Drosophila melanogaster: one gene and its partners. The gene in region 1 interacts genetically with each later gene. Each region holds a gene or a part of one and is shown in the gene's direction. Other genes may lie near its edges.

Evidence for each region. Genes that interact genetically often act in the same process or in processes that back each other up.
Region 2: of Clk (region 1) and shn, changing one suppresses a phenotype caused by changing the other (phenotypic suppression), as found in Drosophila melanogaster (one study listed by BioGRID).
Region 3: of Clk (region 1) and nmo, changing one enhances a phenotype caused by changing the other (phenotypic enhancement), as found in Drosophila melanogaster (one study listed by BioGRID).

Annotation. Positions count from the first base shown.
Region 1 is NT_037436.4:7,772,579-7,777,433, reverse strand, and holds the start of Clk (clock), read left to right. Parts: upstream 1-1,830; 5' UTR 1,831-1,938; intron 1,939-4,855. UniProt on the Drosophila melanogaster protein: Circadian regulator that acts as a transcription factor and generates a rhythmic output with a period of about 24 hours. Oscillates in antiphase to the cycling observed for period (PER) and timeless (TIM).
Region 2 is NT_033778.4:11,171,936-11,176,842, forward strand, and holds the start of shn (schnurri), read left to right. Parts: upstream 1-1,867; 5' UTR 1,868-2,839; coding exon 2,840-2,870; intron 2,871-4,907.
Region 3 is NT_037436.4:7,977,083-7,982,085, forward strand, and holds the start of nmo (nemo), read left to right. Parts: upstream 1-1,963; 5' UTR 1,964-2,091; exon of another isoform or gene 2,092-2,427; 5' UTR 2,428-2,598; intron 2,599-3,317; 5' UTR 3,318-3,736; coding exon 3,737-3,900; intron 3,901-5,003. Other genes in the region: CG8209 (uncharacterized protein), read left to right, coding at 1-188, 245-587; POP4 ribonuclease P/MRP subunit, read right to left, coding at 903-1,523.

The DNA of each region.
Region 1 (4,855 bases):
CCGCATTCCTATTGAAGAGATAGCTTTGATATATCTTTGTAACATTAGCTAAAACATCTTTGTCTTTGATTTCTTCTACTTCTAAGCCGCATACTCATTTTGTTTATTCTTTTTAATCGTTCAAACTCTCCCTATAAAGCAAATCAATTTTAAAAACAAAAATTTGCTTTATCAGTCGGCACATCTTTGTCTTTGTAAATATCTTTTTACGGATAATCCATAAATTATATGTACATTTTCTACGCTAGTTATAGAACACGAATTTAATTTTCAGCTCAACACAAAATAAATAAATAAATCAACATTTTTTGTCAACAAAATATTTATGTAATTTTATACAAAATATACACGAACGTCTAAATTAAATCATCGTGTATTTACGTTTAGACACTAAATACAATACAATCCCAAAATTTGACATTATTTTTGTGTCTACTTTATATGAAGAAATTATTACATAATTCTATATGAAACAAAAAAAAATTTATAATATTTCTAAAATTCTTAAGATCAAATCAACAACATATTTTCTCTGTGTTTTTTGTGCTAAATTTTTTTTACTGGTACTTCTTAATTTAATAATGATGTAAAATAAAGAGGAAAACAATTAAAATATAAAATAAATGTGGAACATAACTATGGTTTTTCTTTTAACTTATAAAAGTGGTTGATAAAAAAAACTATTGAGTTTCAGTTTGACAACAAAGTAGTTCTGACTACACCTCTGCATTGCTGAATAGCTACATATATACATCCTGTGCGTTGCATAAACCTATAAAACTTTCAAATCAAATCGAGAAAATCTTGTAAATTGCAAATCGAGTGCTGAAATGTTACGTAAGCATCTAATAAATATCGAATTTCTGGTGCAAGCGGTTCGCGATTAGGCAATCATGGAATAAGAATCAGAATTATTAGTTTTCTGTGCTACCTTTGCAGAAAGTGAGGTCGTAGTGCTAGATTCGGAGCTGAATTCCAATTGAATTGATTTTGAAGATAAAATACGACAAAGGAATCAAAGGTAAGGGTCGTGGTTCACTATTGAATTCATACTAAAACTACTTTATATATGAAATATTTATTGAAATATGAGTTTGCATTAAAAAGCTAATGCCGTAGTGCTTTGGAAATTATTTGTGTGGATTAACAAAAGCTGAAATGACAGTTTGGAAGTTCTTTTATCACTTTCCATACTATAAGACAATTTAATTAGTAAAAGTTTACATTAAATTAAATGATTAAATATTAAAACAGTTTGTTTAGTTTTAACTTTAAATTATGTTTAACTTCTCTTATTATTTCAAATTATATTTCAGTTCGCCTCACGTTGCATGAAATGCACATATGATCTGTTAATGTAAGTTTATAGACATGAAGCAGTATAGATAGATCAAAAGATAGTTAGGGTATGTTGCACCACCTACCTAGTTTCAGTCTATGCCGACCTATAGTCAAAAACTCACCCCTGCCACAGACCTTGAACTTAAGTCGCGGACAAACAAAACCCGTTGAATCACCCCTGCGAGACCCCCGAGAGACCCTTATATCTGTAATCTCCAGACGGAATGCCAGAAACACGCGGAATATTGGACAACAAACAGAAAGGTTGAAAGAAAACTATATAGAAAAGCTATACTATCCGATCCGAGAGAGACCCTCTGAGCAGAGTGGCTCTGAGCGTGCTGATAGTTTGATAGAGCGATAGATAAAGACTCAACTCAGGTTCACGATCGGTGCAATTGAGTGATATGGCGGATTCTGAGTGTGGAGAGCATATTAAATAATAGCCGAGTGGCGGTGCTCAATCAGTCAGTCAGTCAGGTAGAGCTGGGAATGCTTGCACATATCGCGTATACGCCCCGGCCGGCAAAAGGCATTACAACAGACTTGTAGACCGACTGACTCTCCCGACCGATTCGGTTTCGTATCTTTGTATCGGTGAGAACGCTTCTGGGGACTCGCTGCTCACATTTCGATGCATTTCGCGGTTTTTCGTTTATCCACGGGCTTTTTGCGTTTGTAGTTTTTATTTTCGCCAGCTTAGAACTTGCAATTCTCGTGCATTTATTCAGTTTGAGTCCAGCAAGCGCAGCGTCAACGAGCGGATCTCTCTCTTTAATTTTCCGATTCGGGTTTTCGATTTATTCGCATTTTCTCCGGGTTTTTTTTTTGAGCGCGCAGTTATTGTTTTATATCGCAAGTACTTGGCCGATCTGAAGCAAAGTCAAGCCGTCTGCCGTTGATATTGTCTCTGCCTGTAACTCGATCGCATATTACACACTTTTCGCCTTTTCGGTTCTGTTTCGGATTTGAAGGGGAATAATATTTTTGTTTGTCTCCGTCTTTGCGCTTAATTAAATTGCAGCTTTCTTCCTTGTTTCTGCTGATATTGCCAAAAAAGTTTTTTGTTTTACCTTTTACCATAAAAGAAATTAAAGTGTTTTTGTTATTGGATATCGTTTTCTATATATTGGCGTATATATGTCACCAAGTGCAGAAGTATAAAAAAAAAAACGCGCAAAGCAGAACGGGAAAAGTTATTATGTAACTTTTAAAACACTCGTGCCATAAAAACAGGAACAAATGTGGAATAATTCTTGAAGAAACAAAGTGAAAGGCAGAGGAAAAAACAAAAGTGGATAAGCCGCCAAAGGCAATATATGGATAAAAATAAATAGTTTAAATAATAATGGGCGTTTTTAAAAAGCCAAATAAAAAAGTGTAGTTATATGTCAGTGATGTTGCAATAAAACACAAATACAAGTTTTCACAAGTTAAAAATTGATCTTAGTTAAATACTAAAGTAGTAAAGTTTTATTTAATTGAACAAGTGCATCCAAACTAATGTAGCTAAGATTCAATTTCGAAGTAAATTAACTACTTTACCTGCTAATTACCAAAGTTTTGCGCCAGATTCAAAAGATTAAATTACAAATCAGCTGCGGCAAAATTGTGAAGTGTGCAAAGCAAAAGTGGAGGAAAAAAATAAAAATAATAAAAGCAAAAGTGCATTAGGTAGAACATCCGCAGTGACAAAAATAACAGAAGAAAAATGCCGCGCCAAAAAAGATAAGGCAAACCCAAGGATGAGATACGAGCGAATACGAGTGAAGATACTTCTCGCTTAAAACAAAAGTGCATTCAACCAAAAAAAAATTGAAAACAAACTACCTGTGAGAGCGATTTTTCCACATACATATAATAAAAACTATAATTTTTTTAAAATGTCTTTAGATTTGGAAAGGTATTTTAATAATGTACTCTTTATTCGAATTTTGAATGGAGTTGTGTCGTTTGTTTACTCTAAAAGTTGGATTTCGTACCCAATATTAAAATAAATATAAAAATTAAAAAATATTTTTAGATATTGGTTTTAGTTTCATTCAGCAAGATTGATTGGATATTTTACGCAGTACACTATTTTCATTCCGGTGAATTCAAGATAAATAATATTGTTTGTAAGTTTTGCTTAATTACAAGAATTTCCAGTGGCTGAAACTAGCTAGGTAATTTGCTAGTCGCTTTGCAATCCAACTATTTCCATTTGTTTTATTTAAATTTTTTTTTTTTTGTTTTTTTTATTGTTGGCTGACAAGTCTCAGGTCTCGGATGTGGCGTCTTTTTGAGTTTTTGAAACGTCATCGTCAGCGTTTGACTGCCCCGAGTATCTGTGTGCGCCAGTCTATCTGTGTGCGTGTGTTCTGCTGCAATGGTGTGAGTACGCGTGTGCATTTGTGCAGTGGTGTGCGATCATGCGGTAGTCGCACACGCTCTCAGTAAAACTTATTTCAATTGACAACTAAAAAAACTATAGGCACATGCAAAAAGGTTTTAAACATTACAAGTGATACAACTTCGATTCTTGTTTTTGCATTTAGTCGAATAAATGGGGCACAATTACGAAACGCTACTTAATTTAATCTGCAGTCAGCTGCACTTTCTGGCCATTTTCGCTCTGGCTTGCAGAGCGTATACTTCATTTTCACTTAGAGCAAATATGGCTAGTTGTTGATACGGTGAGATAAGCAACTGATTGACAACTACTCCAGATCTATTTTTTTTTTTTTTTAACAATATTGAGGTAGTTGGAAACAAAGAACGAAAACTTAAGGAAAGCCTCTGGGTCGTTTTTTAATTAAAAGAACTTATAGAAAAATGCACTTAAATTTCTAATGACTAAAAGTTAGACACCCTTCATTTATATCAAAAGGAATAACCTAAAGAGAGCAAAACTTTGGACTGAATAAGTTTAACCTAATGAATTTTGTAATGGTATAGTGAGTTTTTGTCCACTTAAATGAAATCAAGTTAGTTTTTAATTAGTCGGAATTTAATCGATACTAAATAGAATTCATTTAAAATTTCCCCCTTAACGAAAATATTATTCAATTTCAATCTAAACATATTAAATCATTATAAAGATCGATTTATGTGATGAACTGATGATTTTAAGCAGACTGCTAATGATTCAGATACGTCAATTTATTATTAGATTGTTAAACGTTTAGGGAAAGGAAAATCCAAGATCCGTTTAGGGTTCTGTTTATAGAACAACAACTCCATGCTGGAAAACCACATAGAAGTATACCCCTTGAACACTATTAACGATGAACTCGGAATTGGTAGATTGTAATTAAATCCCGTCTCGGTAAAATAAGGGGGAACGAACGCCGACGAAATAAATCAATGAATGACTAGAGGTAAAAATAAAATAATAGTGAACAATTTAATTAAGTCAAGTTTAAGACAACAAACGCTAGAGCGCGACGAAAAGTATTACAAGTTTTGCGGAAAGAGAAATAGAAGGCGAGGAAGCAAAGTTGTACAACGGGTCGTATGAGTATTGGGTATTATC
Region 2 (4,907 bases), on another chromosome or scaffold:
TTATTTTTATGGCACTCACATTTGCGTTTTATTTCTTTTGCTGGCTTATTTGGTTGGAATGGTTCTGTTTAGATAGAAGAATAGAAGTATGTAGCAAACACACTTTTTTGAAACGATGTGTGGAATTTTTATGAGGCAGCTTGTAAATAATTTTTTTTTTTTCTTCAATTTTGTTACTTTCGTTTTTCAACTGGATTTCCCTGACTTTTCAACAGACCGGTCTGTTTGATCCGCACTGTGATCCTTTCACGCGCTCTGTTATTTTCCGACTGCAAGTGAAATTCCGACGGACGTTTTTCATTTGGCGCCAAAGTGTTCGGCACCACGAATTTCCCCTCCTTCCAGCTTCCAGTTTCGAACTGCTTTCGCACTGGAACTGGAAGGCCTTCTAGCCGGGCGAACATACACACGCACACGAACAATTTCCAATTGGGCGCCTGCGCCAATTGTAAACAAAGAACAGCTGTTCGAACATAGTACATATATTCGTTTTCATTGACGATGGAGCATAGTATAACACAGGGGGGGGGGGGTGCAGGGGGGTTAACTCTGAACATAAGGATGAGTGATGTGATTAGGGTGGTCACGCGTGCGGCTCTAATAAATATCAATGATTTGTGAAAATTCTTAAAAGAAACAAACCACATTTATTGAAAGTCGTTTAGGCCAAACATCGTATATCTTCCCATATGAATTTAAATTGAAGGGCGGCCGTTGGCGTTTTGGGGCTGGCAAATGAGGCTCAAGGCCACGCCTTTTACTTGTCACTTTGGCTGGGAATTCTCACAGCTGTCAGCCAAAATCCCATCCACTTGACATCGCCATCGCCAATGTTCTGCGATATGTTCTTCTTTTCTTCACATATGTACATATTTTCGCCAGCACTTAATTTCCTTTGAAGCCGCATTATTTCAGCCTTTCGACACCAGGCGTTACGAGGCGTTGCGGCTCGAACAGCTTTCGACTGGGCCCAAAGTGTCTGCCTTAAATGAATCGGAAACATTAATGGCTGTATCAAAGAATAGGACGCCTTCATTTAAACGTCTTCATTTAATTCATCGAATTTGCTATTTTTATGCATATGAATATTAAATTAAGTCGAAACATTACTATCATTGGAATGGATACGATTCTATGTGCAGTAATTAAAATGTGTTTCAACAGAGTACATATCTTAGAATCAAACTTCATCTATAATTTAGAATAATTTTTAAACCATGAATTAAATGTTTATCTTCGTTATTTTCGCTGCGAGTTGCAGCAGCTAGTTTATAAGGTTTGTGTGTTCGTCCCACCAAGTTTATGATTATTAAAATATATTATAATGACATGTTTATATTTTTAGCAACTCCTTATAATTAATTTATCAAATCGCCTAAATCAATGCTTTTCCACTGAAGCACCATGTTGTTTTTTGATATTGCATACATTTAGGCTTAGAAAAGTATTACCTTTTTATCAATTGTGTGGATAATCTTAAAAATGTAAATTAGCAAACTGATAAAACAGACAACCCAGGTATTATCACAGCGCAGGTAAGCCAAGTAAATAACGCTTATCATCTGGAGCTCCTGCTATTGGCATTTAAGCTTTGGACACACACACACACACACAATACTGATAAGGCGACTCTCTTAGCGAACTCTCTTCGCTGCTCTGTGAGTGGGAAAAGAAAAAAGGTAAACAGACAAGTTGAAAGGCGATTTTCGATTGAAACGAAACGGCTGGTCGAATTGAAAGCCACTTACGTCGCTCTTTGGCTCTCTCATTTGTGCGCCAAAAGAGAGCTCACTTTGGGTGTGCTCTTGGCGTTCGGGCTTTTGGCTTTGGCTTTGGCTTTTGGGGGCCTAACGGATTCTCGCTGGCTCTGTTTGTCCGTGAACGCCGACGTCGACGCACGCCTCTCGTTTTCGCGCGCTTCTCGCACTTCTCGGTAAATGCGCAAAAAAGCCAGCAACGAAATCAAATCAAGTCAAATCGCAACGCATGGTGAATAACATGTCCGTTTTATTAATAGATTCCGCAACAGCCATATAGCGCATATTTCGAAAGAGATATATAATATATATGAAATAAAGTGAGGCCCTCGGATGAAACAGTGTTGATAAGGAGTGTACATACATACACACACGCAGCACATAAAACTGAAAGAATTCGCGGCGCGCGCGATTTAGTTGCGAATATTGCGTATACGCAGGGTCTGTCAAAAGTAATACAAATCAAACAAAACCTACCACAACAAAAATAAGGAACGGCATATCAAACCGAACATTTCCGAATTGAGGTTTTTTTTACACAGCGAGCAGAGGATACGCCTACATGGATTTATATAGCACAATTACAGCAACCAAGGATACTGAGACTTGGGCAGGATAGCAGCGATGCCAGCCAGCGGGTTGCAATCTCCACCAGGTCGACAGGCAAGCGGCATATCAGGATAATACCAGGGACTTGGACATCATGGCTCCTCTATTTGTCTAGTTGGCAAATACCAGCGAACCGGGAACCAGGCCACACACACACACACCCATACACTCGCTTACACACACAAACACACACACACGCGCGCGCTCATACGCTCAGACAAACAAGGACGCTTGTCATTGTGTGCGTCAAGGACGTCGACACACGTACAAGCTTTGTTGCTGTTGTGCCATACAAACAGACCAGAACCAGTGTCGCAAGTGGGCGTGCCAGCGGGTAGGCGGCCTCTGATTAAATATACATCAGTCAAGCGCAAGGATCCTAATTTCCAGCAGTATTGTTCTGTGCAAAAGGACAACGGGACAGCGGACAGCGGACAGCGCCAAAACGGGACACCAACTTTGAAGCAGGGAAAATGGCGCGACGCAAGGGCAGCGGTCGAGGCAGTAAGTACATTTTCCTGTTAATTATTCAAATCAAGCGTGAGTTCGAAAATATGCCAGCGAAATTCCGGGAAATTGCCTCTTCTCAAGGATTTTAAGCTATTTTGCAAACGTTTCCATAAAGTGTTTACAAGGAAAAGGGACCCAATATCCACAATTTCTATGCTGACTTTTCTTTGGAATCTTTATATTTAGTGGTTCTATTATAAGATCGAACTTTGACTGCTTTGTTCTTGATAACAAATTCACTCCAAGTAGTTTGTTGATTATTAAAAGAACTCCAGCGGTCTTAAAAAAATTGGGCTTCAGCTCAAGGACGACGAGTTTCACAGCTGCCATATGGCAAGACAGTAAGTCCTTGCTTCAGAGCTTCAAAGAATCTCGTCAAGTGCAGTGATTTTTTCTTGGCGGCTCAAAGGGAAAAATATGTAATTAAGAATGTATGTAGTATTCAGCCACGCCCCCACTCGAAACCTCTGGCTGTATCTATAAGATATATATTTTTTTGCATTATTATTTGTGTGCCATGAGTGCTCCACTCGCAAGAGAGAGAGAGAGAGAGAGGGACGGGGCGAGAGCAAAGAGAGGGAGGGCATGCATAAAACATGAAACAACAGCGTCAGTAGTCACTTTTCATTGCATTGCGCCCACGCCCAACCACCCACAGTCCCCTTATCATTTTAATTCAGTTGCGTTGGCGCGCGCGCTGCAAAATGTTGGGGATTCCCTTACGTAATCCCCCAGCGCACACAAAAGGCAAACAAACAAACAGGCACACAAACAAACGCACACTCACAGGGCAGCGGCAAACAAAACAAAAACACAAACGAAATGGGCAAAAGAAAGGGGGAAAAACAGAGAGCTGAAATAAAGGAAAACAGAAAGCGGGTGAAAAGCAGAGAAGCTGAAAAACAGAAGAAAAAAAAAACGTAAAAACAGACGCAAACAAGGCAGCTTGTTTGCCAGCCAGTCGCAATCGGAATTGCCCCATGTAAAATGGTCTGAAAATCAAGCTCAGCCAGCGTCATGAACTTTTGGCGCAGCTCACCCGCTCAACAGGCAGCCTAGCTCACAGATACGCAGATACAAAGATACAGATACAAAAGGCGCACAGTCACAGATACTCGACTTGCACATCCACAATCGCTATAGCCGAGATACTTTGCGTCACGTCACGCCGCCTGTTAGTCAAGTTGCTCTGTGCGCTGCGTTACTCATGCCACAATTTGAACCTATTAAAAAGCCAGATACTTTCTTGTGCCCGCCCCAACCCGCGACATCCGCAGATACTTTTGCCAAATGAGATACAAGTGTGCTGCCTGGCTTTTGATATATGCCAAGTACTGCTCGCTGGGCGGATACAGTGCGCATTCCATCAGCTGCAGCTAAATGCTTTAAATGAATTTACTTTTCATTTCAAAACCAAACCGACTAGGCAACCAGTAATTGAATATATTCAATCCGATCAATCACTTTTTTTTTATTGAACTTGATTTAATTAATATGTCACAACGTGAGCGTTTTATTTCGCCTTTTGAAACAATAAACCAGTAATTAAATATAACATTCTTAAATAAATATATTAAAACTATTTTATAGCATTTTAAACCAATTATGCTGAAATGTTATAAATATTTATATTCGAAATATTATTGTTTTAATAACAATAATAACAACTTAACTTTTTAAACAATGTTGTTGAGACTTTAACTCAACCATTTTGTTTTGTAAACCATGACCAATTGAAAATACTTGGCAACTTGGAGAGAGATTATTTGAAATACTTCTTAAATATATTTCAAAATCATCAAACCTTTAACATGAAAGTCGTCCTTCCATGGAGTACCCACTGTAGCAGGCGCAACATGCTCAAAGAGTTTGGCTCCAACTTGACTTCCAGCTGCCGATGGGTTTTGGTTTTGGTATGCAGACGACTTTGGGTATGGGTTTGAGTATGGTTGGGGGAATGGGAATAGGAATGGGTATGGGTTTGGGTTTTGAGTTTGAGTTTGATCTTTGAGGTTGGGTAGCTGGGCCGAA
Region 3 (5,003 bases), 200 kb from region 1:
GAAGCCCTGCAGCGGGAAAAGAATCGCATCAAGTCCGGCAAGGACATGACCGAGGCCAAGCGGCGCATGGAGGAGTTGGAGATGAAGAAGATCGTTGAGCAGCGCAAGCGCGAAAAGGACGAGGAGAAGGCGGCCCGCGATCGGGTAAAGGCTCAAATTGAGGCGGACAAGGCAGCACGCAAGGCTAGGTAAGGATTAGCCCTATCCTTCCACTTCATAATTCATTATAATTCATGGTATGCAGAGAACAAAAGGAATTGGGCAACGCAGAGCCAGCTCCATCCGTGAGCTCCACCACAGTTTCGTCACCACCGGCCGGTGTGAAATCTCCGCCGCGAGACTACACCGAAACCCGCATCCAGGTGCGCCTGCAGGATGGCTCAACACTACAGGAAACCTTCAACGTCAAGGAGCAGCTGTCCGCCGTACGTGTGTTCATCCAGATGAAGACCGGCATCGAGTCGCCCTTCTCTCTGATGACCACCTTTCCGCGCAAGCTGTTCGCCGAGGACGACTACGAGAAGCCGCTGGAAGTGCTCGGCTTGGTTCCATCCGCTGTCATCACCATGACCAAGACGCCCGCATAAATCTTTCCTACAAACTGGATATATTTGAATCCGGGTAATCTCTCCCATAAACTAGAACCTAAATACGAAAAAAACGCGGCGCGAAATATACCCCCCCCCCCCCAAAAAAAAAAAAAAAAAACAAGAAAAACAATTAATGTACGGTTTTATATATATATTAAACACAACAATCTCAAATACAAGTAAAGTTTTAGAGGATCTTTGAGGGCAATTATTAAATTTCTATTGAAAAGCGATGCTAACTTTCCAATAAACTTTTTTCCTTAAATTACAATAGGATTCAATTTCTATGGCTAATGATTGGTCCTGTAGTTCCTACATGAAGGGCTTCACAAAGTTCTTGATCTTCTTAACGCTTCGCTCGGCGGGTCGAATGTTGAGGTGCTGCCCGAATATGGTGAACTCCATGTTGCCCACTTTCATACCAAAGACGCACTCGCTCTTGGGTATTGTGCGCAGCCGATGGTCCTTGCCGAGCAGTTTCAGCACGTTCTTGGTGTCCATGACGCAGATGCCAGCCAAATTTTCCAGGGTGGAGCACTTGGACTGCAGCACCTTCATCTTGGCACCGTGCAAGTCCAGTTTCACCAACTTGCGGCTGAACTCGTCGTAGCGAGCATCGTGCACCTGGGGCACCTCGTCACCTTCCCTCAGCTCCAGATGCTCGCGTACATAGCCCTTCCACAGGTGGTGCAGTGGCAGTGCCTCCTCGTACTTCATCTGCTTGGTGGGAAGAGTGTTCAAACCAAGTGCCGCATATTCCCGGCGACTCAGCGTACTGGATTTGTGGGCGCGACGTTTTCGGGAGTGCTGCTTCTTGATCTTGGTGCCCTCCAGCATTGTGATGTGATCCGGATTGATGTTAACATTGCAACGCTGGTGCGGAATCACCAGATCTGAGATAAATTCCCTCAATTCACTTGTCGCGTGTTCCATTGCGTTGTTATTTAGTTTTATTTATTTGGTGATCAACAATATATCGATAGGCGCGGAACTCTATCGATGGAAGAAAAGGCGATATATTAATATTATTTTTTCAGATGCATAGCTGCATGTGCACTTCGTATAATACAAGCTAAATAATAATTATTGCTATTAATTATTAGAAACTGTATGTACCTGCAATTTTTCATATTCAACGCTGCAATTTAAAAATAACGTACATTCGGGGCAATCTGGCGTTGCCATCCTGCTTTTGCATTTGAAATGTCATAAAATACAAAAAATACCAACGAAATAGAGATGGAAATAGATATAGTGCGGGCACTCTAAAAACATCGATAGCCAAACCTTGAATTAATATACGAGTGGAAAACATCGGACCTATCGATGTTTCTATCGGTGGCCGACCACCTCTAGCAACGCCGAACATATGTTTCAAGTCTCTCTCAACTTTCGAACGGAGCGGAACGTCGAGCGCACGAATTCGGAATTATCGTTGAAACAAACGTCGCCGCGTGTGATCGAAAATCCAAGTTAGGCTCATTCGTTGGGAAGCTGCGAGGTAATCAAACGCCAACCGACGACCAACATCCGCCCGCCCCCCTTTTAGCCACGCCCCGCGGCCCGTGTGATAACAAAGATAATGCAATAAAGGGCAACCGTAGAAAAAAAGCTGTGAGAGAGCCAAGAAACGTGACCCAGGCAAAATTTTGTTTGTTTGTCTGGCTCTGCATATACATGTACATAGTTTAAACGTGCGTGCGATTGTGTATGCGCGTGTGTGTGAGCAGCCGTCGCGTTAGTAGTAGTAACACGCCAAACAACAAAAAATTCATCTCGCGTTATTTACAATAATAATTAAACAAAATTACAAAATTGTTTCCGTCTCGCCCGCTAGTTCACTCTCTCTCACACACACACGCACGAATATTACCCCCGGCGCGTTTTACTTCCATCTCGCTCCCACAAAGGCGGAAGAGTTAAACACAAAAAAAAAAGAAAAATAGAAAAGAAATTATAAACGAAAAACTGCCACCGCCGCTGCTCAATAATTTGTGCATTTTTTAAGGTAATTTAAAGTGAAATGGAATGTCTTGTTTGCATAGGTTAGGTTTAATTAGTCCGGAAAGCTAAGCGAAACCCTGGGAAATATTACATATCCCCGGGCGAATTTCTTTTGTCCCGTTACTTTTCGATTTTCATGCGAGCGTTTTTTGATTGCGTTCATTTTCTGGCGACTTGGGGGTGCTCGCCATTGTTTGGTTTTCAACATTTGTAAATTTGCATGAAAAGTCGGATTTTAAGTGATTTTTGTGTCTTTTGAGCGGCTTTTTGCGCAGGCAGCGCAGTCCGAAAATCACTCAGAATCGCACTCACATGCGCACACACTTACAATTGTAATACACGGACGCGCCCCGGTCGCGACAGCTAACGGCACTTTTCATGTCCTCTCGCGCGCTCTCTCTCACTGTTCTCCTCTCTTCTTTCTTTTTGATTCCTGTGCAGCATCATTTGCCACCAAAAATTCGAAAAGCAAACAAAAGTAACGACAATTAAAGTACAGTGAATAATACCAAAACCGGATTAAATTAAATCTAGCTTTTACAGAATATACAAAATATTGAGCCTAGTGGTAACTAGTAACTAGTGGTCGAATAGGAAATCAATTCTCAATAGTTTTCTTGCGTACTGTGAAAATAAATCAAGATTGTAAATTCTGTTAGCAACGTTTAAATTATTCACAATTCAACTGTCTACAAATGATTATTTATCCACTTCACTCCGCAGTTTCATCACAATGTCCTCAAATCTAATTTAAATAAGTAAGAAGTGTAACAAGCGACACGCAGCGAAACAAATAGCGCTGAATAGAGGAGCACGCCAAGGCAAACAGCAACAAATGGCCAACAATTGAATGGCGGCCATCAGTTGGCCCCAGCGGCATCCATTGAGCAATCAACACCATTTCTCCCACATCAAATCAAGCACCACTTCCAGCAACACCATCACCTCAACCACCTCAGTCACCACCGCCGTCACAGCTTTGGGAATCAGAACCACAGTCCAAGACCCAGTCGAAACCACCACCACCACCAGTAAAAGCCACAGCCTAGCAGGACCACAACCACTGAGCTCCATCGCCAACAAATACCAGAACCGGGTGCAGCTGCTCGAATTATTTGGAAAACTTGCCGCGTAGTCCATCAATGAGCGTTTCGATGTCACTGGTACAGGGTGGTGCTGCCGGTGGTGCGCCACAGGGCGCCAGCGCAATCTTGGCCGCAGCGGCTCCCTACTATCAACCGCCGGCTGTTCCCCAGGATGTTCAGCCGGATCGTCCTATCGGCTATGGAGCATTCGGAGTTGTCTGGTAAGTATAATGATTCTATATCTCAGTGCAATAATCCAGATTATGGGCGAAGGGTGTTGCCATAGTATTGGTACAATCAAATTTTTTCTTGGTTTAGCAAGCATGGTTATTTTCGGGTTGTTTTGCTGGTTGTCCAAAGACATCCCGCCGAAATGGGCAATTATATTTGAGAATTATAAGACAATAGGTGGTATAGAATGCAGAAAAGGGTGTATTAACGTCATATCCTATTATATGCTTGTGCCCCTTAAAGAATTCATGTAATGATAATTTGTAAATGATTTCATTATAAACACATTCGGTTAAAAAGTTGTAAGACCGACTTCGAATCCAAATGTTAATACCCTCCTGTCAATGTACTTTTATAATTCAAATATCTAAAGATTAAACAGTTGTTCTTTGACTTGAAAAAGTCTTTGTTCTATTCGAAGAAAGGGTATCTGCAGCGTCGTTACTTTGCTGTGCGATTTTATGTCACGGTCTCGCCGTGGGTTCAGCAACCTTCTGCTTAGGCCTTTGATTCTGTAACCCTTTTGATTGTGTTGCTGCTGTTGATGTTGATGTTTTGTGCAGCGGGCAACGTCAACATCCTCGTACTCATTTCGATTCAGAACCTCAGTCCCGGGTCTCAGCTAGCTGTCCTTCATGGTTTTGTGCCTTTGTGCAGTTTTCAACGTTGCTGCGGCCCCCCGAGGGTGGATTTTTCCTATAATATATTTCTTACCCTAAGCGCGCTGGCTGGCTGACTGGCTGGCTCTCCGTGTTTTGGCCTCCCTCCCCCCCCCTCAATTTGGACTTTTCTATTTGCCCATCTCCTCGTTTATCGGCCTCTCTCTGCTTTTTTTTTTCTATCCCCTCGACTCTTTTGATTTACATTTGTGTGCAAAATTTTACATTAATGGTTGCTTAAATGGGGTGAGCATTGAATATTTGTTTGTTTACTGGGTAAAGTAAAATATCTAATATGGATTAGCAACATTTTGTTATCAATGTAACCGAAAAGCTGCAAATCTATCAAGCAAATGATTTTAACATAGCACAAAAAAAGGTGGCAATATGAAATCATCATATCTATTTATTATTTAACTCGACTTCCTATCAAT